Linked DNA regions of Struthio camelus. The protein of the gene in region 1 interacts with the protein of each later gene in a pairwise test. Links are inferred from orthologs where the notes say so. Each region holds a gene or a part of one and is shown in the gene's direction. Other genes may lie near its edges. The genes, in order: MTUS2, LMO4, NTAQ1 and NDOR1.

Evidence for each region.
Region 2: the proteins of MTUS2 (region 1) and LMO4 interact in binary tests that used the Homo sapiens proteins (3 or more experiments, as listed by UniProt). The link is inferred for Struthio camelus from reciprocal best matches to the Homo sapiens genes MTUS2 and LMO4.
Region 3: the proteins of MTUS2 (region 1) and NTAQ1 interact in binary tests that used the Homo sapiens proteins (3 or more experiments, as listed by UniProt). The two-hybrid records come from large-scale screens. The link is inferred for Struthio camelus from reciprocal best matches to the Homo sapiens genes MTUS2 and NTAQ1.
Region 4: the proteins of MTUS2 (region 1) and NDOR1 interact in binary tests that used the Homo sapiens proteins (3 or more experiments, as listed by UniProt). The two-hybrid records come from large-scale screens. The link is inferred for Struthio camelus from reciprocal best matches to the Homo sapiens genes MTUS2 and NDOR1.

Annotation. Positions count from the first base shown.
Region 1 is NC_090942.1:200,185,753-200,193,594, reverse strand, and holds the start of MTUS2 (microtubule-associated tumor suppressor candidate 2), read left to right. Parts: upstream 1-4,830; 5' UTR 4,831-5,024; intron 5,025-7,842. UniProt on the Homo sapiens protein: Binds microtubules. Together with MAPRE1 may target the microtubule depolymerase KIF2C to the plus-end of microtubules. May regulate the dynamics of microtubules at their growing distal tip.
Region 2 is NC_090949.1:20,631,990-20,639,476, reverse strand, and holds the start of LMO4 (LIM domain transcription factor LMO4), read left to right. Parts: upstream 1-4,480; 5' UTR 4,481-4,614; exon of another isoform or gene 4,615-4,788; intron 4,789-6,740; 5' UTR 6,741-6,743; coding exon 6,744-6,979; intron 6,980-7,487. UniProt on the Homo sapiens protein: Transcription cofactor. Plays a role in establishing motor neuron identity, in concert with MNX1, acting, at least in part, to disrupt LDB1-LHX3 complexes thereby negatively modulating interneuron genes in motor neurons.
Region 3 is NC_090943.1:160,183,833-160,191,496, forward strand, and holds the start of NTAQ1 (protein N-terminal glutamine amidohydrolase), read left to right. Parts: upstream 1-4,653; 5' UTR 4,654-5,183; coding exon 5,184-5,365; intron 5,366-5,481; exon of another isoform or gene 5,482-5,741; coding exon of another isoform or gene 5,742-5,815; intron 5,816-6,148; coding exon 6,149-6,248; intron 6,249-6,627; coding exon 6,628-6,678; intron 6,679-7,664. Other genes in the region: ATAD2 (ATPase family AAA domain-containing protein 2), read right to left, coding at 2,970-3,188. UniProt on the Homo sapiens protein: Mediates the side-chain deamidation of N-terminal glutamine residues to glutamate, an important step in N-end rule pathway of protein degradation.
Region 4 is NC_090961.1:12,913,803-12,921,039, reverse strand, and holds the start of NDOR1 (NADPH-dependent diflavin oxidoreductase 1), read left to right. Parts: upstream 1-4,233; 5' UTR 4,234-4,290; intron 4,291-5,441; exon of another isoform or gene 5,442-5,650; intron 5,651-6,090; coding exon 6,091-6,225; intron 6,226-6,715; coding exon 6,716-6,793; intron 6,794-7,237. Other genes in the region: TMEM203 (transmembrane protein 203), read right to left, coding at 3,521-3,931. UniProt on the Homo sapiens protein: NADPH-dependent reductase which is a central component of the cytosolic iron-sulfur (Fe-S) protein assembly (CIA) machinery.

The DNA of each region.
Region 1 (7,842 bases):
GTGACACCGGGTCTTGTCCCGCTTGTGCCGGGCCCCGCATGCGGTGGCTCCAGCCCTCCCCACTGAAGTGCGGGGACCGTGGTGCAGCTCTGCCCACCCTCCTTCCTGCAGGTCTGGGCTGTGTCCTCCCTGGGACAGAAACCTCCAAAAAGTCTTCTGGAGCTAGTAGCCTTAACATGACATTACAGCCTAATCAAACTGTGCCGTGTGCGTGGTATTTTTTTTTGTTGACTTGCATTCTTCCCCAGTAATCTAGAAAACTGAACACTGATTTTACCCCTTGCTTATTTCTGCGGAGAAATAAGCCTTGTGCAGCCTTCTGGTGTCACCGCTCTGTCTTTACTGCTCAGTAAACAGAGCCAGGGCCCGCTGTCTGATCCCGAGGCTGAATGGCACAGACTGGCTATATCCGTGTTACGTAGTGCTCAACCCTGGTCTCCCATCTGGAGGCACTGTAGACAATAAGACCTTGTTGTTAATGCGTATGTGTTTTTCTTCTTCTTTTGTTTTTGATTTATTTCTGCTATAAAAAATAAAGAATAGCTGTGCTGCAGCCCACAAGAATGGTGTTTGATGGCATGAAGCGAGGTAGCTCTTGCAGGCACTGGGGCGGGCAGGAGGGAAGCTAGAGTCTGCGAAGCACTGGGAAGGTGTCTTGGTGCTTATTTCAGCACATGGGACGAAACCTGGGTGCAGAGCCAGGGCAGAGTCCACCGTGCCTCTCGTCCTGCCCTTCTGATGGGGAGGGGTGACTTAGGGGGCCCTCGGTGCCTTCGCCGCTGGCACAGGGCTACGCAGAGGGCACTCATATCATGTCGTGGCGATGGTATGTGGTTGCCCAGTCCCACTTTCAAGCTGCACACACACAGGCAGACCGTCCCCGCTCTGGCTGCGGGATCCTCACTGGGGTGTATTCCCTTGGCTCCTCACTCGGTTATATTTCCAGGTCTATGTGTGAGGCTATTCTGCCACCTCTCTGTAGCTGTAGGAGCTTATGTTAAAACGCATCAACAAAGTGGTTTAGGTTTGAAACTGTGCTTAAAATTGCTCTGCCTTCATTTATAAAAGTCATCTCCTGCTTCAGTTTCTCATCATTTTTTTGTTTTCTTTCTAGTGTAACCAGCATCGTCATATCTTCTTTGGAGGAGTCACATATGAAATATTTCACTATACACATGTATAGGTTACATATCTATTCACTCTCTTCCATATGTTTAAGAAAAACAAGCTTATATGAATTATCTACAGCAATTTCACCTCTGCACAGGATCTAAAAATAAAAGCAGAGGCCACATTCTACAGCTAAGTAGATTTTAATTAGGTGTGATAATAGCATGAATTGCCTTTTAGAGCACAACAGCTCAGCGATCAGAAGTCAACTGCTCTGAGTGATAATTGACTGCTAAAATGTTCTATTAAGGGAAGAAACTCAATGCAGGGCATGCATTTGTTTTTCATATAACAATGAATGGTCTTGGCAGTTTGATTAACATTTTGGGTCAATCTGGGCTTCCTCAGCTATTGTGATATAGCCTCAGCTCTTTTGGTATAGCCAGTGGGTCCTTTCAAGTACTAATGTAACAGGAGGACAGTGAAAGTCTTCCTCGGTAAGCCCCCATCATCACCAATTACACAGTAATGCCTTTGGAGATGACAAGTGGGATTGGGGCTTCCTGAAGATCAGTGACTGAAGTGCCGGGTAGGTGCAGGGGTCACTTCTGTAACAGGCAGCATGAGTGCGTCTGGTCCCAACAGAGGGGAGCACGCATGCCAAGGGAGCTGCAAGGGGGCCACGCAGCTGGGCTGGAGCGAGCGTTCCCTTTCTGCTACGAAAGCAGGGAGGGTATGTTATGAATAGTGAGATTTCTCCAGAGCCAGATGCTTTTCAGTGATTACATCTTTATTAGGTACAGCCACTGATGAAGAAAACAAACTCCATCGACTCACCATAGATGATATTTCAGGCAGTCTGAAGAACTGGAGTACACTGCTGGAGGAACCAAACCCTCATTACCTAGTTAGCTCTCAGGTGAAAAACGCAGGGATTGCCCTCACCTCACTTTAGGGAAATGGATACTTCTGAGCTAATTTCAGTGCCTACGCTGGGGAGAAAAGATTTACACCCTAGACGTGCCCGTTTCCCTGCACTGACCAGAGAGGGAGCGCGCAGTGCTTAGCCTAGATGCGGTTCATTTTCTGAGACCTCCCCCCACTATTTTGGCCATAGATAAATTCAGGGTTTTAACATGAATAATATTCTGAGGTGAAGGCTTGTCTTCTGTTCTGCCTGCCCCGGTGGAGGCTGGGAGCCTCCCGCAGAGCTGACAGCAGAGGGTTTAATGCCATAAACCACCACAGCTAAACCTGCCAGTGCCTGTCTCGTCAGAGTCCTCGTTTATGCCAGCCGTGGGGACGTTCTCAGTGAGTTTACCAACTAAGATGCTTTATCTTCGCTGTCTTTTTAACTCATGCATATCATTTAGTCACCGGAGGGAGGGGAGAATACAGCTTTTTTTCAGCAGGGAAGACAAACCTTAAGGAAAGGTCCTTTAAGGATAAGAGACTCTCCCTTATCATGCCACATGGATGGTACTTGGCACTTCAGACTGTAGGCAGATGCAAGCACAGTGTGTTCGAGCACCAATCCATAGGCAGAAATAAGGAAGCTATTGTGCCCATAGGAAATGCGGATATATCCTGTGACACTGACTGTGCTGTGCTATGAGACCCCTAACAACAGCCTCATCAGATGGGCACTGTGTATGGGAATTTTTTGCAGGATGATACACCAAAAAGCAAGGGCCAATATGCCAGGTCGGAGGCAGACCGTGACCACTGCTGCCCAGGTCTCACCAGGGTGCCAGAAACATGCTGCCTTGTGCTTCCTCATGGGAGGTCATGGGCTCCTTGCTGTTCTCTGGCCCCCCCCACCCCAGTCTCTGCAGGGCACCAGTGCCGCTCGCAGACGGGAGGGTATCATGTGGCATCGGCGGACTGCCTCATGTACTGGGAACCAGTCCACTGCTTCCTTCTGAACAGGCCTTTGTGGATTTGCCCAGAGGACTTTGTAAAAATTAATTGAGTTGCCCAGCATTAGATACAGATCATAAAACTCCCATCTGATCTAATGCCTGCTGCTGATCTTAACAGCTGATTGAAACAATGAGCACAGGAATATAATAAAAGTCACACAGATGGCTATAATGCAGGCTATATATTTATATAAGGTTTTAAACTTAAAACTAAGATACTCTGCCTCACAAAGCTTAGTCCCCTAATGGGAGTAAAAACCCTGGGGATAGGTTTAAGCATAGCAAAAGTGAGGGAGATTATTATTTGAGTTATAAGTTTTGCAGAAGAGCAGATTTGTTCCTCTATCTATTTATTTATTTAATTCCTGTTCATTTGAAAGTGAAAGAGAAACAAACTTGCAGAAGGAGAGAAGAACTGGAGAGCAGCCAGACAAGGAACAGAAAGCTTTGCCATGAGTAAATCTCATCTCTGCCTGATGCCATTTGAAACACCATTACAACTTCCCTGGCAGACTCTGACATGAACCTATATTCTAAACTCTAGGAAACGAAAGCATATGGAGCCCCGTTTTACCTAGAAAGCTTGGAAGGCTAAGAACTAACGTCCCTGTTAAATAATCCTCCATAAACCACCTATTTGTTTGCAGAATGTTAATTTACACACGTGATTATGGTAATTATCAAGAAAATGGTCAAAGAGATACAAACAGAAATGTCTTATAAATGCATTCGTTTTTAAATGTTCACTAAGTATTATATGTATACGTATTATTTAAATTAATCTGTATCTTGGTGTGTGTGTCTCATGTTACAGGTTCCTTTGGGGGAATGATGCTCTATTTCTGCTTTGTACAGCACAAAGCATCCCATTCTGCTTAAATAAATACTACAGAATCACACAGAATCACAAAACAGTTGAGGTTGGAAGGGACCTCTGGAGATCATCTAGTCCAACCTCCCTGCTCCAGCAGGCTCCTCTAGAGCGTATTGCCCAGGATCACATCCAGACGGGTTTTGAATATCTCCAGCGAAGGAGACTCCACTACCTCTCTGGGCAACCTGCGCCAGCGCTCTGTCACCCTCACAGGAAAGAAGTTTTTCCTCATGTTCAGATGGAACTGCCTGTGGTTCAGTTTCTGCCCGTTGCCTCTTGTCCTGTCTCTGGGCACCTCGGAGAAGAGCCTGGCTGCATCCTCTCGACATCCCCCCCTTTAGATACTTGTACACATTAATTAGATCCCCCCCTAAGTCTTCTCTTCTCCAGGTTGGAAAGTCCCAGCTCTCTCAGCCTTTCCTCATAAGAGAGCTGCTCCGTTTCCTTCATCATCTGAGCAGCCCTTGGCTGCACTCGCTCTGGCAGCTCTGTGCTCCTCTGCGTGCTTGCACGCCTCGTCTGGTGTGCCGTTAGCCCACCCAGTCAAGCATGCCTTCAGGGATTCATCTGCTCGTGCGGACAGAGTGGCAGCGTGCGCACATGACATGTTTTTCCCTGTCAGGTGCTCACCTCGGCTCTCCCGTGGTCACCGTTTCACTCAGTCTCCTAGTGTTGCGGCTTTCCTAAATTTCTAAGCACTTTACGGAAGCAGGAAAAAACAAACCAAAGCAAAGCAATGTCTGAGAAGCGGAGTTTTCCCGCAGCGTCGCCCTCGGCGGAGGGCATGCGGCGCCGGAGCCGAGGGCCGGGGGGGTGCCCGAGCGACCACCCCCGGGGGCGGCCGCGCAGGCCCCGCCGCCGCGCAGCTCCCGCGCGGTCCGGCAGGGGGCGCTGCGGCTCGGCCCGCGGCGGCGGGAGGTGGGCGCGGGCGGCGGCGGGCGCTGCGCGGCGGCTGCGCCCCGCGCCGCTATATAACACCCGCCCGCAGCCCCGCGCTGCTGCCGCTGCCGCCGTTGCGCAGCGCGGGCGTCTGCTGCAGCCTTTGTCCGCGGACGGACGCGGGAGGAGGGAGCAGCAGCAGCAGCAGCAGCAGCAGCAGCGGCGCGGAGCCGAGCCAGGTGAGCGCCGTGCACCGCCGTCCCCCGTGCAGCCGCAGCGCCCCGCTCCGCTGCCCTGCCGTCCGGGGTGCCCCGCGCCTCCAGCCCGCAGCGCCCGGAGCTCTTCTTCCTCCTCGCCCTGCGCGGGCGGGGCGCTGACCCCGGTTTGGGGTTGCTGTCCCCTCGGGAAAGCCCTGCCGCAGCCCGGGGCGCTGCTGCGGCCCGGCCCCGGGCGGTGCTGGGGGGAGCCGGGCACAGGCGCGGCCCCGGGGGTCGCTCCGGTATGCGGGCGTCTGTGCCCGGTGCTGCCTTCTGCGTGGGAAGCACCGCGCAGGGAAATTGGCGGAAAGTACTTTGAAACGCAGGCTGCTCTGGCTGCACCGCTTGGAAATGCTAATGCTGAAAGCAAGGAAGGTTTGTGGGCTGCTGGTCGTTGCTACCGGTGGTGAGGGCATGTGTTGAGATGGTAAAATAATAGTGTGAAACCTACTTATTAAAATGCTCTCATATATATATTATCAAATCTATTTGGCCAAAAGTTCTGAGGAAAGTAATAAGTGGAATGGCTGGTGTAGGCATTGCTCTCTGTGCAGCATCAGGTAGAGACTGGTAAGGAGCTGGGTGCTGGAGTGGGCTGGGGACCTCTGGCTTGGGCTGTGCACTCTCCAGTTGATGAAAGTGGAGAGCTCAGTGCAAGTATTGAGTTTACAGCACTCAGCTGGCCTAGAGTGCTAAAACTGCAGTTAAACTCTGCCCCTTTCATGGAGTTAAATAGCACTTCATTGTTCTTTCTTAAGAATGATGAAAGATAACAAAGCAGCTACTGTAAATTATGAACTGGCATATAACTTCAGTAGGAAAGGAAAGAACAAACCCATGGAAGATAGGACAGTGGGCACAGGTCTCCCTACTCAGATAAAACACCCCTGCTTGAAAAGCTGTTCATCTAGATTGGTAGTTTCCAACCCTTTTTAGGTGGATCTCAGAGCCTTTAATACTTTCCTGCCTCTTGATCTCTCCTACTTTTGCTTCTGCTTCTTCCTCCTTCCCTGGTTGATGTCTCCTCCTGGAGGCAGCAACAGCATGGGGGTGCTCTGTGCCTGCCCCCTCCAGGTCAGCATGTGTTCCCAAAGGGCACCTGGGTTGGGCAGCCAGCAATTCTGGATCACTCCAAACATGAAAAGGGCAAGCCAGCAAGACCCTTGCCATTTATTACTGTATTAAAAACTTTGAAGAACAAAAAAAATTCTCAGCAAGCCAAGCATTAGAAATACTTACTGATACTAAAGTAGCAGTAGCAAATAATTAAATGTCAAGTGTTGGCATACAGGTTATTAGTTTGCAATGGATGACTGCATTAGAGATGTACTTGGCAGCCAACTGAACTGGTTATAACATAATGCATAAATGCCTTGTTTTCATTTGTAATATCATATGGAAATTGTTTTATGCTCTTTTCACTATGTAGTGTTTATGGGTTTTATTTTCTCACCCCCAACTTGAAGCAGGGGTGTGGCTTTTCTGTATCTCCTCCTGCATAAGCTTTACTAGACTGTCCTTTTGCATTGCAATTAAATATACCTCACTACTTGTCTCCTTCCATCTCTGCAGTCTGGTAAGGAGAGCAGTACAGTCTGTGGTGCAGGAGAGTGGTAGCACTAAGCTATGTGCATGAAGACAGGGCTTCATTTCTCACTTTTTTGCTTTATCTTGTGACCCTACAGAATCAATGTGCAAAAGCTGGTTCTGTAAGTGATTCTTTGAATGATCCATTCTCAGAGTTTGGAAGTCTCTACCTGAGACCAGGAGGGTGAGAAAGGATTTGCAAGGCTTGAGCTCATGTGGTTTGTATGAAGTAGTTTTTGACATGCTATCACTTATTTTCTGTATATTCATCTCTTCAGGGACAGAAGTAGAGATTTGGTGACTAATCTAGATTTATTTCAGATGTTGAAAATGACAGATGTAGGTTTGGGTCAGATACAAAGCTAGCTTACCTTTACAACAAGGCTTCTAATATAGCAAAGTTTTTTTTTGTAGGATGTTATCTATTGTATTAGTGATTGTAATACACATGAAGATAGCTTAAGCCTCTTGGCCTAAATATATCTGAAGTATATTTCTATACAAAACACATCTATAGTATGGTAAGCAGTACTTGATATTTAGCAGTATAGTGGAGAGAGGAGAGCTTGCAACACTTCTGCTGTATTTAACCTGACACAGAAGTGCAATTCTCCAGGTTCTGTAAAGCACAACAGCACATCATAGGCTGTACAGGAGATACACTACTCAGTGAGTAGTAGTCTTCTGGCATTTTAAAAGTTTAGAAGCCAAAAATTTGGATTTTTTATTGTACATTTATTAATTTGTAAGTTAATGGAGGTTACATCAGAAATCATCACAGGACAGAATTGCAAGGTCTGAAATGTTGACTCTAACAAAATGGTAGATGAAATGAAGAAAAGCACAATAGAGAATGAGGAAAAAACTAATTTAAACAGCTCATACAGTGGTTGTTTTTACATTTGATAGAAAATTCTGGAGGTGGAAAGATCCAAGCATTATAATGGACATCTGAATAAAGATATTTGCTTGAAAACTCAGCAACAGTACGGAGGGAGGGGAAATGGACCCTGAGTTGGAGTCTACAAAGACGATTAGGGGACTGGAGCATCTCTCCTATGAAGAAAGGCTGAGAGAGCTGGGCCTGTTCAGCCTGGAGAAGACTGAGGGGGGATCTGATCAATGTGCACAAGTATCTGAAGGGGGGGGGGTGTCAAGAGGATGGGGCCAGTCTCTTCTCCGTGGTGCAACAGGACAAGAGGCAACGGGCAGA
Region 2 (7,487 bases), on another chromosome or scaffold:
AACTTTTTATTAAATATGCATATTCTAGTAGCCTCTAGAGACTTTTAATTTAAAACATAAATTATATGTAATTTCAAACTCTGCTATCTCTGACTTTAGTCACAGAACTCACTTTTGGGACTGTCTGCTACACATGGCTAACGGTAATATATCAATGCTTCCAATAGACGTTTTAGCTATATGAGGTCATTACAAATATAGCTTTAGCTCTTCCTTAAGTAGACCCCATTGTTAATATAAATATGTATCTGTAATTATTGACATTTATATGATTTGGCCCCTGTACTAAATTATTGATACAGTGATGATAAAAGGGCCTTACCAACTCTTACCTAAATAAACTGTCCTTCCTAACTACCTTCCATGGAACTGGATTCTTGTAAATAATGTTACTCATGTGTTTACTAGCAAGTCAAAATTTATACATATTTTTCTAAAAGTGAGTTATCTTGCTGTTTGGGGTGAAAAGTACTGTCTGCTGTTTGAAAAAGAATGCTGAGAGTCAAGCCATGCAGAATTCTTCACAACTTGCAGGGGATGTGCACTTTCCCATATCATTAGATAGCCCACTTGAATACTTAGTCACATTTGTAATTTGTTTAAGATCCTAAAACAGAAGATCTTATGCTAGCAAAAGGGTGTGTTATTTTAAAATAACAAGTGGCTGTTGATTTTTCATCACTGCTTCCAAAGAGACTAGAGGGTTTGCGTTAAAAGTTGAAATGGTTGTTCAAAAGGTAGAGTTTGGAAGACACAGACTAGCAAAGTGCAACATGGAAGCTCTCCCAACACAGTGGCAGCCTCAACATTTCTAACGAGAAAAGGAAAAGACAGTTGAGATCCCATAGGAATGCAGTATTTGGGGAGAGAACTAAGACTCCTTTCACGAATGGAGAGAGAACCCCAGTGAATTCTGGACTATCAGCTATCTTAGTGGCATGTGGAGGTTTAAGAACGATTTGGATCACAAGCTGAAACGTTTTCCAGACCTTCAGATTGCAACTTTCTACTAAGCCAGCAATTTTATGCTTTCCTCTCCCTGACTCCAACAGTACCACAATATAAGCAGCCAGATTTTCTTCTGCATTGTGTTTTTTATCCATTCAGCCAAAATTAACAGTCTTTGAGGATGAAGTATGCCAAGTGAATTTGAATCTTGCGGACTAAAATACACCTAAAGTTGATGGATACATTCGTGCCTACTGCTGAAATCTACCAATTACTCAGAACTACGTTAACTTACCATAGAAACATCTCATCTAATAGCACAGATGATGTTGAACTAACTAATTACATTATGGCACATAGACAATGAAAAACATAACGAAGATGACAGCACAGCAACAGCAGATGCTGCACAAAAGAAAAATTAGAAAAATATTGCTCTGCAAAATGCTCTCAGTTAAGGTTCCCTCTGTTAAAATTAATCACAAAAATTAGTGAAGATTAGATTTCAGAAAAAGATATGAACATTATAATGGTATTTGGAAAATGTCATTAAGCCATTTAAAACTCTGCTCCTTCAGAAGAGGTAATTCCCATTTTTCTTATCACTATCAGTTGCAAGACTAGTAAACATTGTAGTGCCTATGGCGCAGTTTCTTGGTAGAGTATCTCTTCCAATAAGAAGAGCTCCTGAAGGTTCTTCCAGAGCCTGAATTTGGTAGCTTCCAGCCATTATAGCCTTAAATAATTAGACAGCTTAGACTTTGTTTTAGCTTGGCGTTTGCTCTATTCTTGTGCTCTTAGCTGTCAGAGAGCTAGAATAACAGTGATAGTTGATTATCCGTAGCACGTCTTGTTACTTTATATATTTTAAATTGTAACAGATCCTAAATGACAAATCTGAAACTGCTGAATATGTTTAAATGTAATATGTATCTGGAGATTACATCCAGATGACATATTGCATAGACATATGATAAAAAAAAATGCACCACTTACTTTTAACCACAGTGCTGGTCCTCTTCCCCCTTCCCTCGTGGAAGCTTGCCATGCGCTCCCTGTCTACTTTATGTATAGATTCTTCAGATAGCCCTGTCTATGGAGAAAGAAATGGTGTATTCCCCTATATTTAAATCATACCTATAGTGCTACTCAAATTTTAATATTTTATTGGATATATAATAAAAACAGAGTACATCTATGATGTCCTACGTTTTCCCAGGTACATTTTTCCCAGCTGGACATATTTTAAATAAATTTTATCTGGTTACTGGGCACTCTTCTCCTCAGTCCCCTGCAGGCCAGGGATGCAGAAATAAAGGAGACCCACAGGTGGCGCTGTGGTTAAAGTACACCTGGATTTTGATTACAGAGACAAGATTTAGTAGTCGGGCTGTCAGAGGGAAGTTGGTCTGCTTCTTAGTACAAACGCATATATTTGTAAATAAATTTCCCTGGCTAGAATTTCAGATACTTGTGCCGGCACATCGCTTCTACACTAGACTGTAAGAGGAGCAGGTTTAAAATATTTTGTTGCCTTCAGCAATCGAGAGGCAGCGCACCCACACAAACTCGTAATTTAGTGACGCTGCAGCCATAAAACGGGTAGTTGACAACAGCAGTTAACTGCACCAGGCGAGCCGTGCAGCGACCCGTCCCCATTTAGGATGACCCTGTCCCGTCGGGCACGGCCGCGTTAGTCCCTGGGAACACGCTGCAGCCGCCTGCCCCCTCCTGCAGTCACAGTGAAGTCCGACTGTTCTCCCTGCGTTGGCTGCTCCTTACGTCAGCGGTCTGGAATCAAGAAACTAACATCACCAAGTTTTGTGTTGTTTAACGGATCCTGGAAATGTGTAATTTAACTGACTCTTTAGCTGCAGTTAGCTCTGCGAGACCCGCTGGCGCGTGCTGCGCGGCGGAGGCAGGCCTGCGCGCGGTAGCAGGCCGTGCCCGGCGGGGGCCCGTCCTTGCAGCGGTCCGGTCCGGCCCAGCCCGGCGGCCTGCAGGACCTGGCGAGCACCGGCCAACCGCCCTCTCGTTGCAGATACTTCCATTGTTTCCAGCGGGCTAGGGGTTGTTACAGGGTGCTGGGTTTTGCTTATCGTGTGGGCTCTGCTTAGGCCTCAGAAACGTGCGAGTAATATATATATATATCTACATGTTTTTCCACTGTGTCACTACCGAGTATTACTTCTGGTTTGCTATCACGCTTTGGCTTCTTTTCCAGAAATGCAGTTGTCTTTCCGAATGACAAGCAGCGCTGCCAACTGCCAGCCAATTGCAGCGGTTTAACCCTTTTAAATCTTTTATAGGGTACTAATAATAGCGGGGTATATACTGACACTCATTTTTAAGCACAACTCCCCGCTGGTTTCAGCGAGTGGATTTTCAAACGTCAGCGGCTTGACCAGGCCCATTTTACCCGAAACACGAGCTGGACGCTCCCCTCCCTCCCTCCCTCCCTCCCGGCCGGCCGCCTGCCCGTCTCCGAGGCCGGGGCCCGGGCGCGGGCCTGCGCGGGGGCGCGCCTCCGCCACCGGCTCCAGCGGCCACCGCCACCTCCGCCGCCGCCCGGGAGCCGGCCGAGGCACGGGCAGCCGCCACGGCCCCTCGCCTGCAAGTTTCTCAAGTGGTGGCCGGGAGCGGGTCGGGCGGCGGCGAGCGGCGCCCTAACGGCCGCCCAGCAGCGCCCTAACGGCCGCCCAACGGCCGCGGGCGCCGCTCCCCACAGCCCGCCCGGGCGGCGGCGGCGGCCACCGCTTCCCACCTGACTCCCTCCTTCCTCTCCATTCCCCTCCTCCTCTGCCCCCTCCTCCCCACCCTCCGCTCTTTTTTTTTTTCCTCCTCTTTCAGTCATTCCTTTGTCTTCCCCGGGATTGGCAGGTTTTATTATTCCGCCTGAACAAGCCGGGGGCGGATTGGCTGCGGCGGGCTGACGCTGGGAGCCGAGCTGGAGTGTAGTTGGGATTCTGCTCTGTCAGTAACACATGTGTGAGGGGCAGCGGGCAGAGCGAGCGCGGGGCGGCGCGGCGCGCAGGCCCGCACGGACACACTCGCGCACTCACACACACACACACACACACACGCTCACTCACTCACGCACGCACGCACGCACGCGCGCACCGCGGCCTCCTCCTGAGTCCTGCCAGCGCCGCCGCCGCCACAGGATCGCCGGCAGCAGCAGCTCCCGCCCGGCCCCTCTCAAACTCGCCGCTCGCCCTCTCCTCCGGGGCGCGTCGGCGGGCCGCGGCCGGCCGGTTCCTCGCTGCGGGAGGCTCGGGAGCCGCCGGCGCCCAGAGGAGGGGGCGGAGGTGGTGGGGGGGGCGGGGGGGAGGCGATACAAAGTGAAGCCACATTGCCAAACTTACCCGGCGATTGCAGCAGCGAGCGGCGGCGGCGCCCTGCGTGTGCAGCTCGGCGGCGGGGACTGAGCTCTGCAGCTCCCCTCCGGGAAGTGCGAGCTGGAGGAAGGACCCAGGCAGACGCCGCTCGTAGCAGTATCTATATTTTTCCAGCCTGGGCTGCCACTTGCCGGGCTGGGGGCCCCCTCCAGCGCTCCCGGAGCCCGCTGAGAGCGCGAGCGGCGGGTTTGTCTCGTGGCACGGAAACCTCCTGGGTGACCCCGAGCGGCGTTGCTCCCCGGCCTTTTGCAATATAGAGGGGAAGCAGGTAAGGAGTGCTGGCGATTACTGGCGGTATTATCGCAGCGTGCGCGGCCCCGTCCCGCGCTGCGCGGAGCGGCGCGGCGCGGCGTTGCGCGGGGGGAGCCGCGGGCATTGTCGCCGGCCCCGCGTACAAAGCCTGGCGGCGGCTCGGGCTGCTGCCCCTGTCCGCAGCCGCGGAGGGGAGCGGGCTCTGCCGGCCGCGGTTGTGCGCGGAGGGGAAGGGGCGGGGGGAGCGCCGGGCGCCCGCTTCGCCCGTAGTAAACACTGTGCTGAAACAGTGGCAGAAAAGATCAAAGTGAGCTCTCTATTTCTCCCCTCTCCCGTTCCCTTCCTGCCCCCCGCACGGTCTTTTGTTTCAATCCAGGAGAAATCCGGTGAATCACCTAATTAAAACCAAGACGTGAATTAAGCATCCATTTTTGTACTACAAATTGCCAGCTCTCCGCTTGTCCCTCCCTTGGTCTCCATTAAAAAAGCACCAGAGACGCTGTTAAAAGGGGGGGTTATTTTGCCTCTAGCTTCGAGCTCTGCTTTCTATTTCACCGACTCCTATCCCAGGACCTAAATTGCTTGGCTGTGTAATTACTAGAGTAAGCCTATTTAAGTTAAAAGCTTTTTTCCCCCCAACTCTAAATGAAACTTGATGAGGGCCCGTCCTTAGTTATCAAGGGAGTCACTTTCTGGTCAGTCCTCTTGATTCATCTTTTTAGATTTAATCAGCATTAAGGTATTGCTTGTCCTTAAGAGCTTTAGCTTAATGGGGTTACGGGATGGTTTTCTCGGTGTAACGTTTCCCATTTTATATATATTTGCCTTCGACAAAGACGGGGTGATGTGGTAGCATGGAGTCTTTTTCTTTCTTTTAAGAAATCCGGAGTGATTTAAAGCGTAGGGAAACGGTTTAAAGACTCAGAGCAGGAAATGCAGATTCATTTAGGCTGTAGCTGGAAACTGTAACAAAAGGCAATTCCTTGAACAAATGCATCAGAAATCAATTTACATAAAGGTATATGATGCGTTCGGATAAATGCAATGCTAATGGCTTTTAGAGTGGTTTTCTTTCCAAAGTCTCGGGGTTTTTGTTACAGCTTAATTGGTGCAGTTCTGCTGGTTTATTGTGCGGTCACTGGACGTACCTTCAGGAACTCTTTCTGAGGAAATGTGTGTTTAAAATCGGCCTGAGTTCTCGCTCTGCTGGAGCCGAGTTGGGCCGGTGGCAGGAAAGTTCGCCTCGCTGCTCCGGAGGTATCAGCCCGAGCGTCCTCCGCAGCCAGCCGGATGCCTCGGTATGAGCACACACGGCTTACAAAGGACAAAGACAAAACATGCTGCTTAATTGGCAGTAAATAACTTGATCTTTTTATAGTATAAGTGACTGGAGGAACACCAGGAGTTTATTGGACTCTGGATTGAAGGCAACAAATTAATCGGTTTAGAGTAAGCTTTATGAATTGATTCCTATATTATCTCCGAGTTGTCCTGCTTGCATCAAGCATTTATTAGAAAGTGAAAAATGCCCTTACTAGCAGTTTTGGAGGCAGCCAGACTAACTGCAGCCTGAGCGGTGCACTTCATTATCCTGCTGCTTTCCTATGGTCACTAAACTTTTTTTTTTTTTGAGTAACAAAGCTTTAGCGTTTAAATTGCTGATCAAGGGCAGATTAGCGAGACAAAAGTTGAGTATGTTTGTATAGGAAGTTAACAGGCGTCCTAAAGTTCAATGATCTGTTATTCGGGCCAGCGTCCTCGGTCTGGAGTGTTTTCTCTGGGTGTTTTCTGTATCTCAAAAAAAAAAAAAAAAAACCCCAAAACCCCAAACCTCGACGTCTGGACAGCCGGTTCCGAGCCCCTCGTTACCCCGCCTGGAGAGTCTCTCCTAGACTGAAAAACCAGTTTCACAACTTTTTTTTTTTCTTTCCCCCCCCCGCCCCTCACATACTTTTTTTTTTTTTTTTTCTCTGAGCAAAACAAAACCCGGGACTGTTCCTAACTCGCCGAGTGCAGCTGCGGAGGCAGCAGCGCGGAGCGGGGCCGCGCCGCCCCGCGAGGTGCCGAGGCGCGGCGCCCCCCGCCCCGCCGCCGCCGGCCGCCGCCGCCCTGACCCGCCTCCCTCCCGCGCCTCTCCCGCAGGCCATGGTGAACCCCGGCGGCAGCTCGCAGCCGCCCCCGGTGACGGCGGGCTCCCTCTCGTGGAAGAGGTGCGCCGGCTGCGGGGGGAAGATCGCCGACCGCTTCCTGCTCTACGCCATGGACAGCTACTGGCACAGCCGCTGCCTCAAGTGCTCCTGCTGCCAGGCCCAGCTCGGGGACATCGGCACGTCCTGCTACACCAAGAGCGGCATGATCCTCTGCAGAAACGACTACATCAGGTGAGCGCGGGCGGGGGGGGGGGGGCGTCCGGGCAGGCAGCCGGGCAAAGCTTCCCCCCCCCCCCCCCGCCTCGTGGCTTCCGTGGAGGCAGGAGGCAGCCGGGCCAGTGGCGGCGGCGCGGGGCAGCAGCGTGCCCGGGTCCGGGTCGGCCCTGCCCGGGCAGCGGGGGCCGCGCCAGCCCGGGGAGCCCCGTTCGCTCCTCGCCCCGGGCGCAGTTGTGGCTGCCAAGCGGAGGGAAGGAGGGGGGGCAGGCGGAACGACGACTGTAACTTTAAAGTGGTTTGTCAGCACAAAACAAGTCCTAACTAAAAATAAACAGCAATCAGAGAGGCTAAATTAATCTGCTTTGTTGTAGTGTTGAAGGAGAAGCGTGCATATCTGAACGGTAAATGTTAAAATCGTAGGGCTTAAATAAGGCTGTGGCAGAGGTGCTACATAATGAAATGCCTGCCTTTAGTATCTGATTAATTATGATATTTACATAAGCACCTTTAAACTCCTTTGAGT
Region 3 (7,664 bases), on another chromosome or scaffold:
CCTCCGGGCCAAAGCCCAGTTAAAAGGAAGAATGAACACTCGGAAGACGTCACCATACAGGTTAGATAAAGCAGTATAATGACTTTCTGTGTGTTGTTATTTTTTTTTTTTTAAATTAAGTCTCTGTCCACAATACAATTACTTGTTATATTTATCTTCTGTGCTGTCTTCATCTTGACTCAAATTAAAAGGATACAGCCAAAGCAGAAACAGTGGATATTGCTAACTCTGACTGTCTTCCATTCATATGGATGGCATCCCATTTCAATGAGGTTGTAAACACCAAGAACACCAGAGTAACTCCAGCAGGCTGTCAGCAGAGCAATAGTAACAGGCTCTTATCAGCCAGATCAGGCTGGGGTGGGGGTGGGGGGCAGAGGAGGGGAGCACTCAAAAAGTGAGATCAAATAGAAGAATAAGGCTAAATCTAAAACATAAGGAAACTGAAAAAAGGGATTTTGAAAAGTATTTCTAACTTTGAAAGTAGTTGTTACTTTCCTCGTGCCACATGAAGTGATTAACAATTGCTTTTTAAAAGACTTCTTACAAAAACTGCATGCAGCTATCTCATATCTCTAAGGAAGTAAACTACACGTCAAAGCGCCATCACGTAAATATGCTTAGGCTACAAGGCTGTGAACTCTAGTGCTGAAGTCTCTACAGAGAGGGGTCAAGGAAGACTCAGCCTGCCCAAGTGCAAGTTTTGCTTTGTTCAGGCAAAAGGGAACTCGAGCACACAGGCCTCAAGTACAGGTCACCGTACAACATTGTTCAGCCCGGGTAATTACACCAGGGTTAAAACCTGTAGATACACAGCTTCCAAAGGGACAACTGCCACCTGTTATCTTCCTTGGGACCGGAAACAGGAGAGAATATAACCCATCAGATTCTTGTTCAGTTTAACAGTCTTTCTACCATACGCTGCATACTCCATACGGGTGAAATAACCTGAATAGCTCCCTGGTATCAGAAAACCTGCAAGAGCTGCTGCCAGCAAGTCCTTGCACATCAACAAGTAAGGAAGATAAATTAAGACTTTTGAGCACGCAGCCAAGACCAGGATCATCATCTTTGTCATCTAGGGCAACCCTACATTGTCTCTGCAATTAGAACGCTCCAGCAAAGCCTCACTGACCTACAAAGGAAGCAAAAAGGATTCCATAACTTGAAACATAGGAAAGGTCTATGAAAAAGAGGAGGGAAAAAAGGAAAGAAGGAAAAATCTTACAACCAATTGCAATGATCAGTAATCATTCTGCTTTGGTTTTAGTAAAAAGTTTACATTTAACTTCCTCATTCCTGTTCTCCAGGTACTGAAAACGTGTGCCAGCTGCTTTCTTTGCCTGTGTAGCCTTCCCCCACCTGCAACAGAATTCCTTGTCTTTGACAACCATTTTTAGCATACACCGCAAAAACAAAGTAGCAATCTTTGTAAGCAGATATGGAATCTGCTTAAAGAAAAAAGCACCCCAAGGATTTCTTCCTTCCTAGCTCAGCAAACGTTAAAAAAAAAAAAAAACAAAAAAAAAAACCAACCACAAATCCTGGAATAGTTCTGCTATAAGGAAACAGAGTGCACAACAAGCATCACTTCAAGGCAGGGCTGCCCTGAAGATCAGACCAAAGTTTTGACTTAGACCTGGTCTGCCCTTAGTTGCCATGGAAATGAGGAATACCCCACTGAGAACAGCCTGACTTGGAAAGACCAGGGAAGATTCGCAGCTTTTGAAAGCTACATTAAAAAGCAATAAACTTCTCAAAGTGAAATTGTTCACTTATGAATAGTAGCAACACTGAGATGCAGACAGCACGGAGTACTTAATCTGGTTTAAAATGGTGCACGTTGAGACTTCTTCTCCTAGCATCTTGCCCTAGGTTATTAACAAAAATAAGCAGAATTTTCACTATTTTAGGTTACGCAAATAAGCACTTTAATTAAGTACAAAGTAACCCTGATTCTTAAACACAGCTTTGTTTTAAAAGCATCCAAAGCGGTAACTATATATATTTCATTGGAGCATATCTCACAGGCACTTCAGATATTCAGCTCGAGTGCAGTTACAAATAAAATATATTTTGTGTCAAACATTATATTTGATGCACGTATGCCATCCAAACAATAAGCACCCTCCCTATAAACTTCACCTCGATGATCTTGAAGTAAAAACATTTCCAAGCTCTTTCCAAGATGATTTTTTAGGTAACAAATTTAATCGAAATAACCTAGGAATAGGAAATAAAGGCACCATACCAAATTCTAAGGGGATGCAAAAACACCTGTTCACACAGCTGCAGGCAACCAAATTACTGTCTTTTAGCAAGCTATCACTAGTATCCCAGGCCAGCGGTGGGTTGCATCAAGTTCCCCTCCTTTCAAAGCAAAAATAAATCAATTTTAGAGACCGAAACTGATACATTTTGCATTCGGAAGCTGCAAAAAGCAGTTCTTATTGTGGCTTTGCAGACACGGAGTAACTTTTTCATATACAGCAACTCAATCGTTATACGACCTTACCTTAAGTACTCTTCCCCTCCTCCCCCCTCCCCCGTTCACGAGACCCCTATCTCCGGTGCTTCTATACTGCCTACACAGTGGAAGAGCTCTACTTCTACCACCGATAGAGAGGGATGGATGACAAGCTCGGTTACCTCTGGAGGGACGCACAGGAGGCAGTCCCAGGCTCGCAGACGTGTTCTTTGCGGCCTACACCGCAGAGCCGAGCGCACAGCACCACCTGGCCACACTCGGGCAAGCGGCGGGGCCTTGACTGCCCCCTTTGCCTCAATGGCGCCCGCGGGTTCAAAGCCTGCCGAGCACAACGCCCTCCCCGGCCCGGCCCTGCCCCGGGACCCGCTCGCGCGGCTGCCTCAGCCCAGCCAACGGCCACCTCCACCGGGGCGGCCCCCGCTCCAAGCCCGAGGCCTCCCCAGCGGCCAGCCCTGCCCCCCCCCTCCGCCCACGCCCTCACCTCCTCCGCCGCTCTCGCCGCCCCCCCGGCGCCCTTGGGTCCTTGGGCGGCCCCCGAGCGCGTCCAGGCGCGGCGGCCGCCGAGCGGGGGAGACTCCAGGGAGAGGAACTCGGAGCTGGAGTCCATGAGGTCGAAGGGCGGGCGGCGGCGGCGGCGGCCGCCGCCGTCGCGCGCCGCGGGGCCGGGCCGCTGAGCGCCGCTGCTCCGCAGGACCACCATGGCGGGCCGGGCCGGGCCGGGCCGGGCGCGGCGCGAGGCGGCCCTGGGGTCGCGCGGCGCCGCTCCGAATTCTGGCGCCACAGCCCGCGCGCCGCCGCGATCGCCGCCCTCCCCTCGGATCCCTCCGCCGCGTCCCCCCTGCCCTTCCCTGCCGCTGTGCCGCACCGCCGGCGAGCGCGGCTCCCCGCCGTCACCGCCCCCCTGCCCTGCCCGCCCCCGCCTAGCCCGGCCTGGCCCGGCGGAGAGCGCTCCGCCCCGCCTTCCCCGCGGCCTCTTTTCTCTCCGGCAGCTAGTCCCGGCCCCGATGGCGGAGGGGCACAGCTCGCGCCGCGGCCTTTTGATATTTTTGGCGCGTGAAAGTCGAAGCAGGTTGTTTTGCCGGAGCCCGATTGGCTGGGAGGCGCGCGCGGGGCCCGCCCCCCCCCGCCGCCGCTGCTTCCCGCCGGGCGGGGGCGGGGAAGGCCGGCTCTCTCAGCGCAGTCTCTTAAAGGCGCCCGCACCTCAGGCGCGCAGGGCGGACGGCTGCAGCGCCCCTGGCCCGACCTCGGGTTTTCTGTTCCGACACGCTCAAAGATCTCCCTGGAAAAGCCGTAGGATGACTGCAGGTTCCTAGTTTAGGAAACTCCGGTCCCTAACTCTTTGGGACCCTAGTAGGGCAGGGCAGCGCTACATGGCCTACCACATATCCAAAGCCAGTGTTACTCCAAACTGTCAATGCTGAAGTTGTATTTAACAGGGAAAACGCCCCCATTTTGTTTTCCTCCTCCTACTAAAGGAAAAAAAAAAAACAACAGTAAAGGCTTAAGGCAATCATTCAATACCAAAATGCACAGAACAGCTGAGGTTGCAGAGCACCTCTGGAGTCTGCAGTCCAGCCCCCTGCTCAAGCAGGGTCACCTAGCGCAGGTCACCCAGGGCTGCGTCCAGTCAGCTTCTGACCGTCTCCAAAGATGGAGACCCCGCAATCTCTCTGGGCAACACACCCCAGTGTTTGACCACCCCCACAGTAAAGAAGTGTTTTCTTCCACATATTTGCTTTAAAATGCATGCACGTTTGCTTTCTAATTGGTTGGTACAGAGATGATAACTGACTTCCAGTTATTAAAACCTTCTACACCAGAGTTTTTTCATCAGAATGAGAGATTATCACACGAAGACAGCTTTTCAGGAGCATCATGTTTGGAAAAGAAAAAAAATGCTAACAAAATACGAATCAAACCTCAAAACCTCAAGCTTTCCGGCACCTTCCCTGGAGACAGCATTATCTTCACCTACTGGGTGAATCACCCTAGGCTTATCTGCACAGAAGTGTTTTGTAAGCAGAGAACAAAAGCTGACATTCGGCAGTGCACAGGGTCTAATAGAGCAAAAAGCAGTGTATGTTCAGGCCATTCACCGGCACAAAAAGACGTTGCAGAAGCTCGAGGTGGTCCGAGCGTGCCTGAAAAACATGCACTGTACAGAAGCTGCACCTGAAACAGCAGAAAACAGAAATGGATCAAGTAACCTGAAGACTCAAAACGCACTGGGGAGGTGCGCTTGCTTTGTTACCCTGCAAACAGCAAGTTACTTCTCTCACTTTCCCTCCTCCCTGTAGGAGCCCTCCTATTAACGTCAACTTGTATTTTGCAGAACAGATGTTTTGCAGGAATCACCTGTGCTTAGGCAAGATCCAAAGCACAAAACAGCAGAGAGAGGGCCGCTATGCATTTGGGCACAGGAAAATTCCCTTCGCTGGGTCAAAGGCGTTAGCAGTACTTACACAGTCAGTCCATGCAGGCAGAGGCAGTGATGCCAGCAAGCTCCCTTGCTTCTGCCTTTTTGGCTCTCCCCATTTCTAAGCGTTACCTGTTTCCAGCACTCCCCCAAAGCTGTCACATGAACGTTTCATGAAAGGCTGACCCATTTTGCCCCACTTTAAGCAACCCCTGAGTGTTTCTCAGTTTTTCTACTTGCCTTGGACGCAAGAGCTTTGTATTTGCAAGGAGCAGAGGGATGAAAACATCCACATACCCCTGGCACAGGACAGAAAAGCACGAGGAGCTCCTCGGTAGGCCAGACTGCCACCCACCAGCCTCCAAGGTCAGCCTGTTGTTCAAAAACCCCTTTCCACTTGCAGCCAAAAAGGGGACAGAAGGCCACACCAAGCACCTGCATCCAGCATTAACGTTTATCTGGTGAGTTCAGGCAGCCGCGACCCTGTCTGTGCTCCCTGCCAGCCCCCAGGACGATAAAAATCCCCTCTTGCTCTCGCCTGACACTCGCTTTTACCGCTCCCGGGGGCCTGCCCGCCATGTTACGCCCGTTATTCCCGGCTCGGCGGGAAGCGCCCTGCGGGGGGGCGCTAAGATGGCGGCGGTAGGGCGCTTTCCCTACCGGCGCGGGCCGGCCGGCCGCCCCCTCGCTGCCGAGCAGCCGCGTTTCCTCGCGGAAGCCATAGCCGGTAACTCCCCCGCCGCCGCTGCCGCCAGCACTTCCTGAGCCGCGCCGTGCCGCCGGCCATGCTGCGCCGCCGCCCCGCCAGAGCACCGCTGCGGCCGGCTAAGGCCGCCCATGGCGCGGCCGGCGGCCGCTTATGAGGCGGCGGTGCCCCCCCGGCCCGCCTGCGCCTACACCAGCTGCTACTGGTAAGGGGGGGCGGCCGCCGCCGCGGTGCTCCCCGCGCCGCAGAGCCGAGCGGCAGCCCCGGGCTCGGCCTTTTGTTTAAAAAAAAAAAAAAGAAGAAGAAGAAGAAGCAAAACCAGCTTGGAGGTTTTGCGTAGCATCACGGAGGAAGGGAGGCGGGGGGCGCCGTCGGGGCCGCGGGCCGCGCTGCAGGCAGGCGGGAGACCCGAGCCCGAGCCGGGAGGCTTTCGGCAGACATCAGTGCTTGGCTTAGCGCTCCTTACTAGAAACGAGACTGCGAGCAGGAGAGGGGACAAACAAAACAAAACCCCCAAACCAACCCTTGTCTTTTACAGCGAAGAAAACGTTTGGAAGCTGTGCGACTACATCAGGAGTCGGGATCAATACCCTCTGGAAGAGTTTTACGCTGTCTTCATATCCAATGACAGGAGGATGGTGAGTCGGCGCGTCGTGGTTAAAGGCAGCCGTGGAGCAGCTCCGGCCTCGGCCCTGCAGCCAGAAAGGCCCCGGGGTCCCCCTGTGCGGTGTCCCCCCCGTGCGGGACCTGCAGGCCGCCGCACAGGCGATCGATCCCATGGCTATCCGATGCGTTTTGGGGCAACCCAAAATGCAATGCATCTTCCCTGTAACCTCCTGGTTTAGGAGAATGAGTACGTTACGTGGTCCAGAACACTATCTGCAGCTTAGTGCCGCTAAAAGAGCGACACTGGGCAAGTTTTTTCTCGTTGCAGGACAGATGTAAGCTAATGAAATGGGTTCGCTGGCAAACTACTACTTGTGTTAATCTTCAGTCAAAGTATTTTATGACTTTCAGATTCCCCTATGGAAGCAAAAATCGGGACGTGGAGATGATCCTGTCGTCTGGGTAAAGTATTTTGTGCTTTTTGTGTTCTTTTTAGGGTTTTGTTAATATATGCTTCCCTAATTGGCGTCTGCAAAATCAGACATGGGCAGTGTTAGCCATATCTTTAACAAACTGCAGTTCTATATTAACAACACAATACTAGTATTTATTCTTCTTCTACAACGGATACGTAAACATTGTAAGTCTGGCTCTCTCTTTCACTGCCTGTAGTGCAGTAACAATGAAGCAGTCAGTAAAATTGACGCATGGCAAACATTGGTAAGAATGCATAACAAATCTGTGAAAATTACTGTGTATATACTTCTGAAGCCACCAACTTTGTAGAATTTTAAGAAATAGATGTATATTCTTTTAAGACGTAGATGAATGAAAATATCTACATACGCTTGACATAGCATAGAAAAAGACAAGCAATACATGTCTTCAGGAGTCTGCATGTAAATTTACTGCAAGTGCTGGCTTTAGAACGTCATTTGCAATGAACAGTAATTCAGTAGTTTAGTAATTGCCATTATAGAATTCCTTTTAAATGTGGATCATTACAGAGTTCTTTCAGTTACCCAGTACTGAAAAAACATTCTTCTAGTTTGGTGTGGTGATTTCTGTGTTTCAGGAAATGAAGATTAAGTTGGAATTTATGCTACAGATCCCAACACTTTTAGAGATGTGACACTTATCACACAAGAATGGGAAGGATTTGTTTGGGAAAAAGTGACAAAGTACTTGGGAGAGAATGAATTACTCTTCAAATGGTTTAGCAGACTCCCAAGACGTTGGTATACTTATAAAGCAAAAAAAGGTTTAGTTTAAAAAGAGGCCCGAAATGTTATGAAGCAGACCTATGATGAAATAGGAGATAGGAGAGTCAGGAGAGGCCGCTGCAAAATGTTAATTTCCCATTTAAATGTATAGCTTGAAAGCTATTTTTCCTTTGATGTTTTAATAGCTTGCAGAATTTTCACAGCTTCAAGCTCATTTTTATTACA
Region 4 (7,237 bases), on another chromosome or scaffold:
CCTTGGGCACAGAGGGAAAAGTGACTCCTTTGCACAAGGAGTGAGTCCTGGGAGAGGGGCAGGGCTGGGTCCATGCTGCAAGGCAAACCTTGCCACCCCTGGCCACGCACACAGCCCTCACATCCCTGTTGAGTACAGCACCCCACGTGCCACAGCTTGGGACTGTGCCTCCCTTGTGTCCCCCAGACACACCTGGGAGCTTGCCTTACCTTGGAAAAGCAGAGCTGGGAAATGTTGGCTCCTGGTTGTCCCCAAAGATAGCCACAAATTGCCGGAGGAGCTGCCGGAAAGCTCGGCAGCTGGCAGCCTGAAGCTGAATGCAGGTAGATGTTGCATTGGCCCCCTCTGTCCTGGTGAGCAGTGGCATCCAGCCAGCCCTGGGCACCACACCCCTGTGACATGGCTGTTTGTAAGGTTAGGTCTCTGTTCCTGCTCTGACAGTCCCTGGCAAGCCAAGCCATGGCTCAGCAGCAGGAAACTGCCCCTGTTCCTCTGCAAAGCATTGCACCAAGGCTGAAAGATGAGTGTTGGAATTTTTGAGGGGAGGAGGTTGCCCCATCTTTGATTTAATTAGCTGAGTGCCTGGAGAGCTTTGGGAGAGTCCAATAGTAGTCCCTAAAGCAGCTCTGCTACTGCCACATCCTGAGTCAGAGGCTCTACTGCTTCTCCTGCTCCCTGCTGTTCACCTCAACCTTCACCTATCATACGATCCCTCCTCTGGTGCTCTGATTTTTTGTGCCCTTCAGCAGACACTGGCAATCCCATCAGATCATCCCAGCCTTGCTCCCCTACAACCCCCTATTGCAGACAGGCCTTACCCCCCAGCTATCTCCCTCCCCAGGCTCACACGAGCAGCTCTGCAGCTGCTGGTGATGCAATATCTGCAGCTTGTACACTCAGAATGACTTGTCACATCATGGGCACAGCTGCAGCACAGGGACACCAACAGCAGGGATGAAGTCACAGTGGCCTGAGGTGGAAGAGGATAAGGAGTAGCCAGCTGCCCTCCTTCCAAATGATGTGTCCTTGGTTTGCTTTAGCTAGACCCAAGTGAGCAAGATGCTGGCTCCCAGCAGACAGAGCGGACAAGTGTATGGGGACATTATGGCAGCACCTGGATGGTGCTGAAGCCTGGAAAACCACATAACAAAGTGAAGCAGGAGCTGAGGAGCTTCTGCGAGGCCAGGTCCTACCTAACGCTTGGGTCCCAGCGCCACCTAAGGGTGCACCAGGACGGAGAAAAATGGGTGATCCTATGCTGTGCTTTCAGCCTCAGACCCTGATGCCAGGCCAGGATAGGCCATCTAGAGTCACTGGGCCAAAGCTGGAGCCAGATGTGACCCGAACGGAGGTGAAGCTTTGCTTAGATTCAGTATCCATCAGACTATCTCCAATGGCTGCAGCAGAAAAGTAAACGATATGCATTACTGGATTATGACGACAAATTATGTGGAATTATGCTCTTTGTTGCTATTTGCTTTCCTGTGCCACACCACCTCTTAGGCTGCATGCTTGGATCTGCTCACAAAGACTAAGAACAGGACTTTTTACTCCAGCTCCAAATCAAGAGCAGCCCCTTGGGAAGGTGTTATTTGTCACTTAACTTTTCCTCTAAGTTCTTTTCTGTGCAAAAATTCTCTTGCTCAACATGCTGTGAAAAGGAGACTGACCTGTAAGTCAGACCACAGATTTCCCCAAGCCTCAGCAAGCTTTGAAGCCTGCAGTTCATGCCATTTAACAACACAGCAACGTTTCTAGCACTCCTTGTGCAGGGGTCATGAGGCAGTTTGTAACACAGCTCTTTTCCCCAGGACTCTAGGATTTTTATTATTACTATTTTTTTTTTTATTTTTAGAAAAGCATCAGACCTCTCACCGTGGATAGCTTTTTCAAGAGAGAACCTGTTAAGGGAATATCCAGTGAGATCTGCTCTGAACTCACAGCCACAAGTTTATAAAATCAGTACACTGGAAAAATAAACTTGGAAAATTGGTCCTTTCTTACCCGCATGCTTCCAAAATGCTAAAAGCAAATACAAGTTACACAAGAGGCTAGGTAACTACAGATTTTCTAGATTTCAGGTATGAAGCCAGAGAAAATCTGCTTTATGCAATTTGAAAAGCACCTGACTTTGTTAGATTACAATATAGTCCCGCACTGTGGCAATTCTCAACTTTTTCTTAATGCATGCTCTGCTGGTTACATCCCACCTCATCTCCTGAACTTGAGTGGTGTATGCAGCAGTTCTCCATTTCAAGATCCTATCTCCATGAAATGTAAACCTGAGAGCAGCAGAGAACACATGATGATACCAGTAGCTAGGTAGATGGGGCAAAGACAGGGGTGGGTCACAGAGCACTGCTGAGGTTGGAAAGGAAGCCCATGACTGCTGGGAGGTGTTTTCCGATAGTCGTCATCATTATAGTACAGAGGTCTCTAAAATCCATTGTCAAAAGGAGAACAGTCCTCTGGACCTGGGCACCAAAGTAACGTTCAATGTCTCATAGATAGGTAAGAGACAGATCTATAGCCCTGAATATCCTCACGGTCGGAGCTAAATGATACTAAAGTGTCTTTTGCAATGGGGGTTCGTTGTGAACCTAACAATAACTTGCTGATCTCTATTTCCCCTAGAAAGACTAAACTACCCCCATTTACGGTGGGTCATTTCTAGATATTTGAGGACAGTGTTTCACACAAAAGCTGTGATTCAGTGAGAGCCCACCTTCAGAAGCAGCTCTTCATGCTCCTGCTCTTATACTTTGCCCTCCCAACACCTTTATATTTTGGGAATAGATCTGAAATACAAAGAAAAAAATATATACTTCTGTTCCAAAATAGACATCAGTGCCCTCTGGCTCACAGTACAACCGCACAGAAAATCTTGCTGGCAATGTGAAGGCATGAAGTATTGCTCAGGGAAATGAGAGGAAAAAACGGGAATACATTACACTAGGATTGTCGCTGAAGAAAACACGTTGTTAAAACCATGGCCTCAGACTGGTCAGGGCAAGCAAGATAACAGCTTCATTGTTTAAGGCTAGTAGCCATTTGAGTTTTACAAGGATATCTACAACAACTAACCTCCAAATAATTCTTATTCTCCAGGCAGCAGTTTCAACTACATATACTTTCCAGGGAAAAAGAGTTGTATAAATAAAACTACACTATCTGTACATTTTTATTTTAAATTAACTGGCATATCAAACAGTGCTTGCATATCAGGATATATTAACATTAACATCAAGAGCTGAGTGAACCTGAAATCAATGGCGCTGTATAAAAAAGATCTTTTGAAGAAATGCTGAGCTATACAACATAATAACGTAATCTGGTTGATTACAAACTCTCTTCTCATAACACCAGACCTGCATAACCTAACAACCAATATCACTCTGTACAAAAACAAAAAAAGGGCAAAAGCCCAACTTAGCAAACTTGGAGCTCAGGGCTCCCTGGTGGCTCAGGCAAAGCTCTATCCAGGGTAAGAGGCAGTCATTTGGGAGCCTTTCCCTCGGTATCAGTTCACCCGGCAGGCTCGGATCATGAGCAGCTGGAGGAGGATGAAGACGGGTGACATGATGAGCCCATACCAGAGCTCCCGGGTGTGCTCCACCAGCTTCTGACACAGGAGCATCTCAAAAACAAACTTCAGGCTCAGGATGGTGAGGATCCAGAAGAGGCGCAGCACGGCCAGGCGCTTCTCTCCGTCCTGGAAGAGCCGCACGGAGACAATGGTGGTGAAGTAAGTGCTGAGGCCGTCGGCGGCGAAGAAGGGGATGAACACAGTCCACCAGGAGAGCATCGAGCCTTCGCTGTCCACCTTCAGGACGAGAAGCACGGAGAAGACCAGGAGAGCCAGGAGGTGCAGGAAGATCTCGAAGGTGGCAAAGCCCAGCCATTGCACCAGCTCACGCAGGGAAAACAGCATCTTCCCGGGGGCCCGGCCTGGCCCACCGCCACCGCGGGCACACGGGCCCTGCCGGGGGGACAGCGTCAGCCCGTCATGCCGTCAGCACCCCGCAGCCCGGGCCCGGCCCTGCAACCCCGGCCCGGCCCGGCCTCCGACCCACCCCGCCGCCCCCGGCGCGGTCCCGGCCCAGCCCCGGCCCCTGACCCAGCCCCCGGCCTTAGGTCCCCGAGCCGGCCCTCCAGGCCCCGCCGCCGCCGCCGCGCACCCGCACCCGCGCCCGCGCCGCCCATCAGCCGCCGCCCCGCCGGCAGGTCGCGCCAGCCCCGGCGGCGGCTGATGACGTCGGCGGAAGCGGAGGCGGCGATGCCGGGCGCACGGTGGGTGCCGCGGCCCCGGGGCCGGGCCGGGCCGAGCCGAGCCGGGCCGGGCCGGGCCGGGCCGAGCCGAGCCGAGCCGAGCCGAGCCGGGCCGGGCGCCCCGCCCCGTCCCGTCCCGTCCCGTCCCGGAGCCGCCTGGCCGGGTGGTGCGGTGCTTTGGGAGTCGCTGCTGGGGCCCCGCCGGGCCTTCCCCGGTCCTCGCTGTCCCTCCCCGGCAACCACCGCCTCTCCGCTCGCAGGGATCGGCACCGGGGTGCCCCCCCCCGGGGCGCCCCTTCCCTCGGTGCCCCCCCCCGGGGCGCCCCCTCTTCCCTCGGTGCCCCCCTTCCTTCGGTGCCCCTTCCCCGGGGCGCCCCCTTCTTCCCTCAGTTCCCCCCCCCGGGGCGCCCCCCCTTCCCTCGGTGCCCCCCCTCCCTGGGGCGTCTCCCCCTTCCCTCAGTTCCCCCCCCCGGGGCGCCCCCCCTTCCCTCGGTGCCCCCCCTCCCTGGGGCGTCTCCCCCTTCCCTCGGTGCCCCCCTGAGGTTTTCCCTCCCCTAGGGTGTTCCCCCCTCCCACAGGTGCCCCTTCTCCAGCCCCCTTGGCCCTCAGGAGCCCCCAGGCTGGGTGAGCGGTGGCCGATGCTGCCCACCGAAGACCCCGGGGCTCCCCAGACCGGGGCGGTCACCCTGTGGCAGAGGTCCCCCATGCAGGGTGGCCTCCCTCCCCCCAGGGCTGGGAGCTGGCTCGGGCCCCTGCGGGCGCTGCTTGTTGGCGGTAGGGTCTGCCTCCCGCTGCGAAGGGCAGCGCCCCGAGGGACCCTGAAGCTGGGGTGATGGGGGACCTGCCTCTCCTCAGTGGGCGGTTGTGGCAGAGACGTGCACAGGGAAAAGCAGTTCTGTTCCTGGAGCTGAGCGAGCAGTGTGCATGTCCAGAAGGGCACATAGGATGTGCCAGCTCTTCTGGAAAAATCCATTCGGCTCTGGGCAAGGGGAAGGTCCCTTGGAGCTGCAGCCCCTCTGCAGGAATTGGTCCGTAGAAAGGCCAGTAGTGTCCCCTCCTTAGTTTTTATCAGCAGCTTTTCTGGAAGTGGTACACATTCCCCGTAGGGGTGCGGTAAATTTGCGGCTCTGGCATCCTGCTGGGTTGAATTTCCTCTGTGCTGTGATTTCCAGTAATACCTAGGCCCCTTGTTGCTGGGTGAGAGCAGCACAGGAGGCGTCTTCTCCTGCAGTTGAGAGCACCGTGTCTAGTCAAACTGAGCTCCCAGGCTCTGCTCCTGCCTGCCTCCCCTCCTCGGCTGTCAGGTCTCATGGCATTAGGGGAAACAGATGTGTTAAAATGGGAAACCTGAAGACTGATTCCAAGGATGTACTGACCGCAGGTGGGGAGGCCAGCTAAAATGAGCTAGAATGTGAAACACTGTCCTTGGATTTTATACCCCCAACTCATCCCCCTCCCTTTGCCCTGGCAGCAAGGACAAGGACTGTCCAAGTACTGTCACTCCTGCTCCTACAGACAAGGATGCTGGGTGAAGAGGGTGTCACCTACTCAGTGCTCTCTGAGGATGGAAAGAGAGCCCAGGAGGCTTGAATCCTGACCTTTTCATTGAACTATTAGACTATCTCCGTCCTTGCTGTTTGCCAAAGTATGCAGTGTCTTTCCCCCAAAGTACACTTGATTAAAAAGCTACCAGAACTCCTTTGAAGCCTGGGTAGGTTTCAGGGTGACTGCTAGCCCAGAGCAGAGAGAAGTCCAGCGTTACCTTCCCTTACCTTGCCTTAAGTCCCCTCTTGATGATTTCTTTGGTACTTTCTCTTTCAGATGGCAGAACGGACTCTCCTCGTTCTTTTTGGCAGCCAGACTGGGACAGCTCAGGACACAGCTGAGAGAATTGGCAGAGAAGCCAAACGACGCCACTTTCAGTGCAGAGTGGAGGCACTGGACAGCTATGATGTGGTGAGTGGTGATGCAGAGAGGTGCCCCAGGCAGTTCTAGTCTTGCTCCATCTCTACCAATCCCATTTCTAGGGCTCAGACATCTCCCACCCTTGCTATGACCTCCTATATTTCATAAGATCATGCCTCTCTGTCCTCCCTGAGGGCAGCTTGTGCTTAACTCAGCTGAAAATGTGAAAACTGAGCAGTGACTCTTGGGATACAATCACTGTTAGATGACAGATGCCCAGCCTTATCCAGTGTTTCATCAAGCGCACTTCCTACAAGGCAAGGAGCACCAACGATCTCTTGCTGCAGGCAGTGTGTGTGGGGAGCAGATGACTGTACAGTGTTGTCAGAGGAGGATGTGCCATGCGGGGGCTGTGGGTTTATGCCAAGCGTGGTCTGTCCATGAACTGAATCTAACATGATCAGCTGGGTCTGGCTAGCTAGGGGCATATGTTTGTAGGCTGCTGACCTGAGTGCACCTTTCTATGCTTGTCTGTGCACAGGCGAACCTCATCAATGAGCTGTTGGTGGTATTTGTGTGTGCAACCACGGGCCAGGGCGACCCACCTGACAACATGAAGGTAGGATGCATTCCAGTCTATGTTGCTTTTATGGATCTGGTCCTATGACTGGATTTACTCCTGAGCAGCTTCAGTTATGGATTTCTTGGAGTTGGAGGCTTTGAAACAACACCAGTCATCCTTGCAGGGTAATGTCAGGTGGATGCTGGCTCACTGAGTGGGGCTGAGAAGCATCTCCTGTTGCTGGTGGGATGTGAACAGCAAAGATGGTGAGATTTCAGCAGCTTAACAGCTAAGAGGAGCCCCTGCCTTAGCAAGAGCCTCAGATTTGTGGAGACCTCACAGGGCATCATCTTTCTGGCAGGTAGCACTAGCAGCTAGCTTCAGGGATTGCTTTTGTAGAATAAGGCACTCTAAGGTTACAGCCACTGGCTGAACAGACATACTCAGCAGAGGAAGCTGCCAGGCTGTGCTCCCTGCCCTGTCAGGACTCGGCAGGAGGGA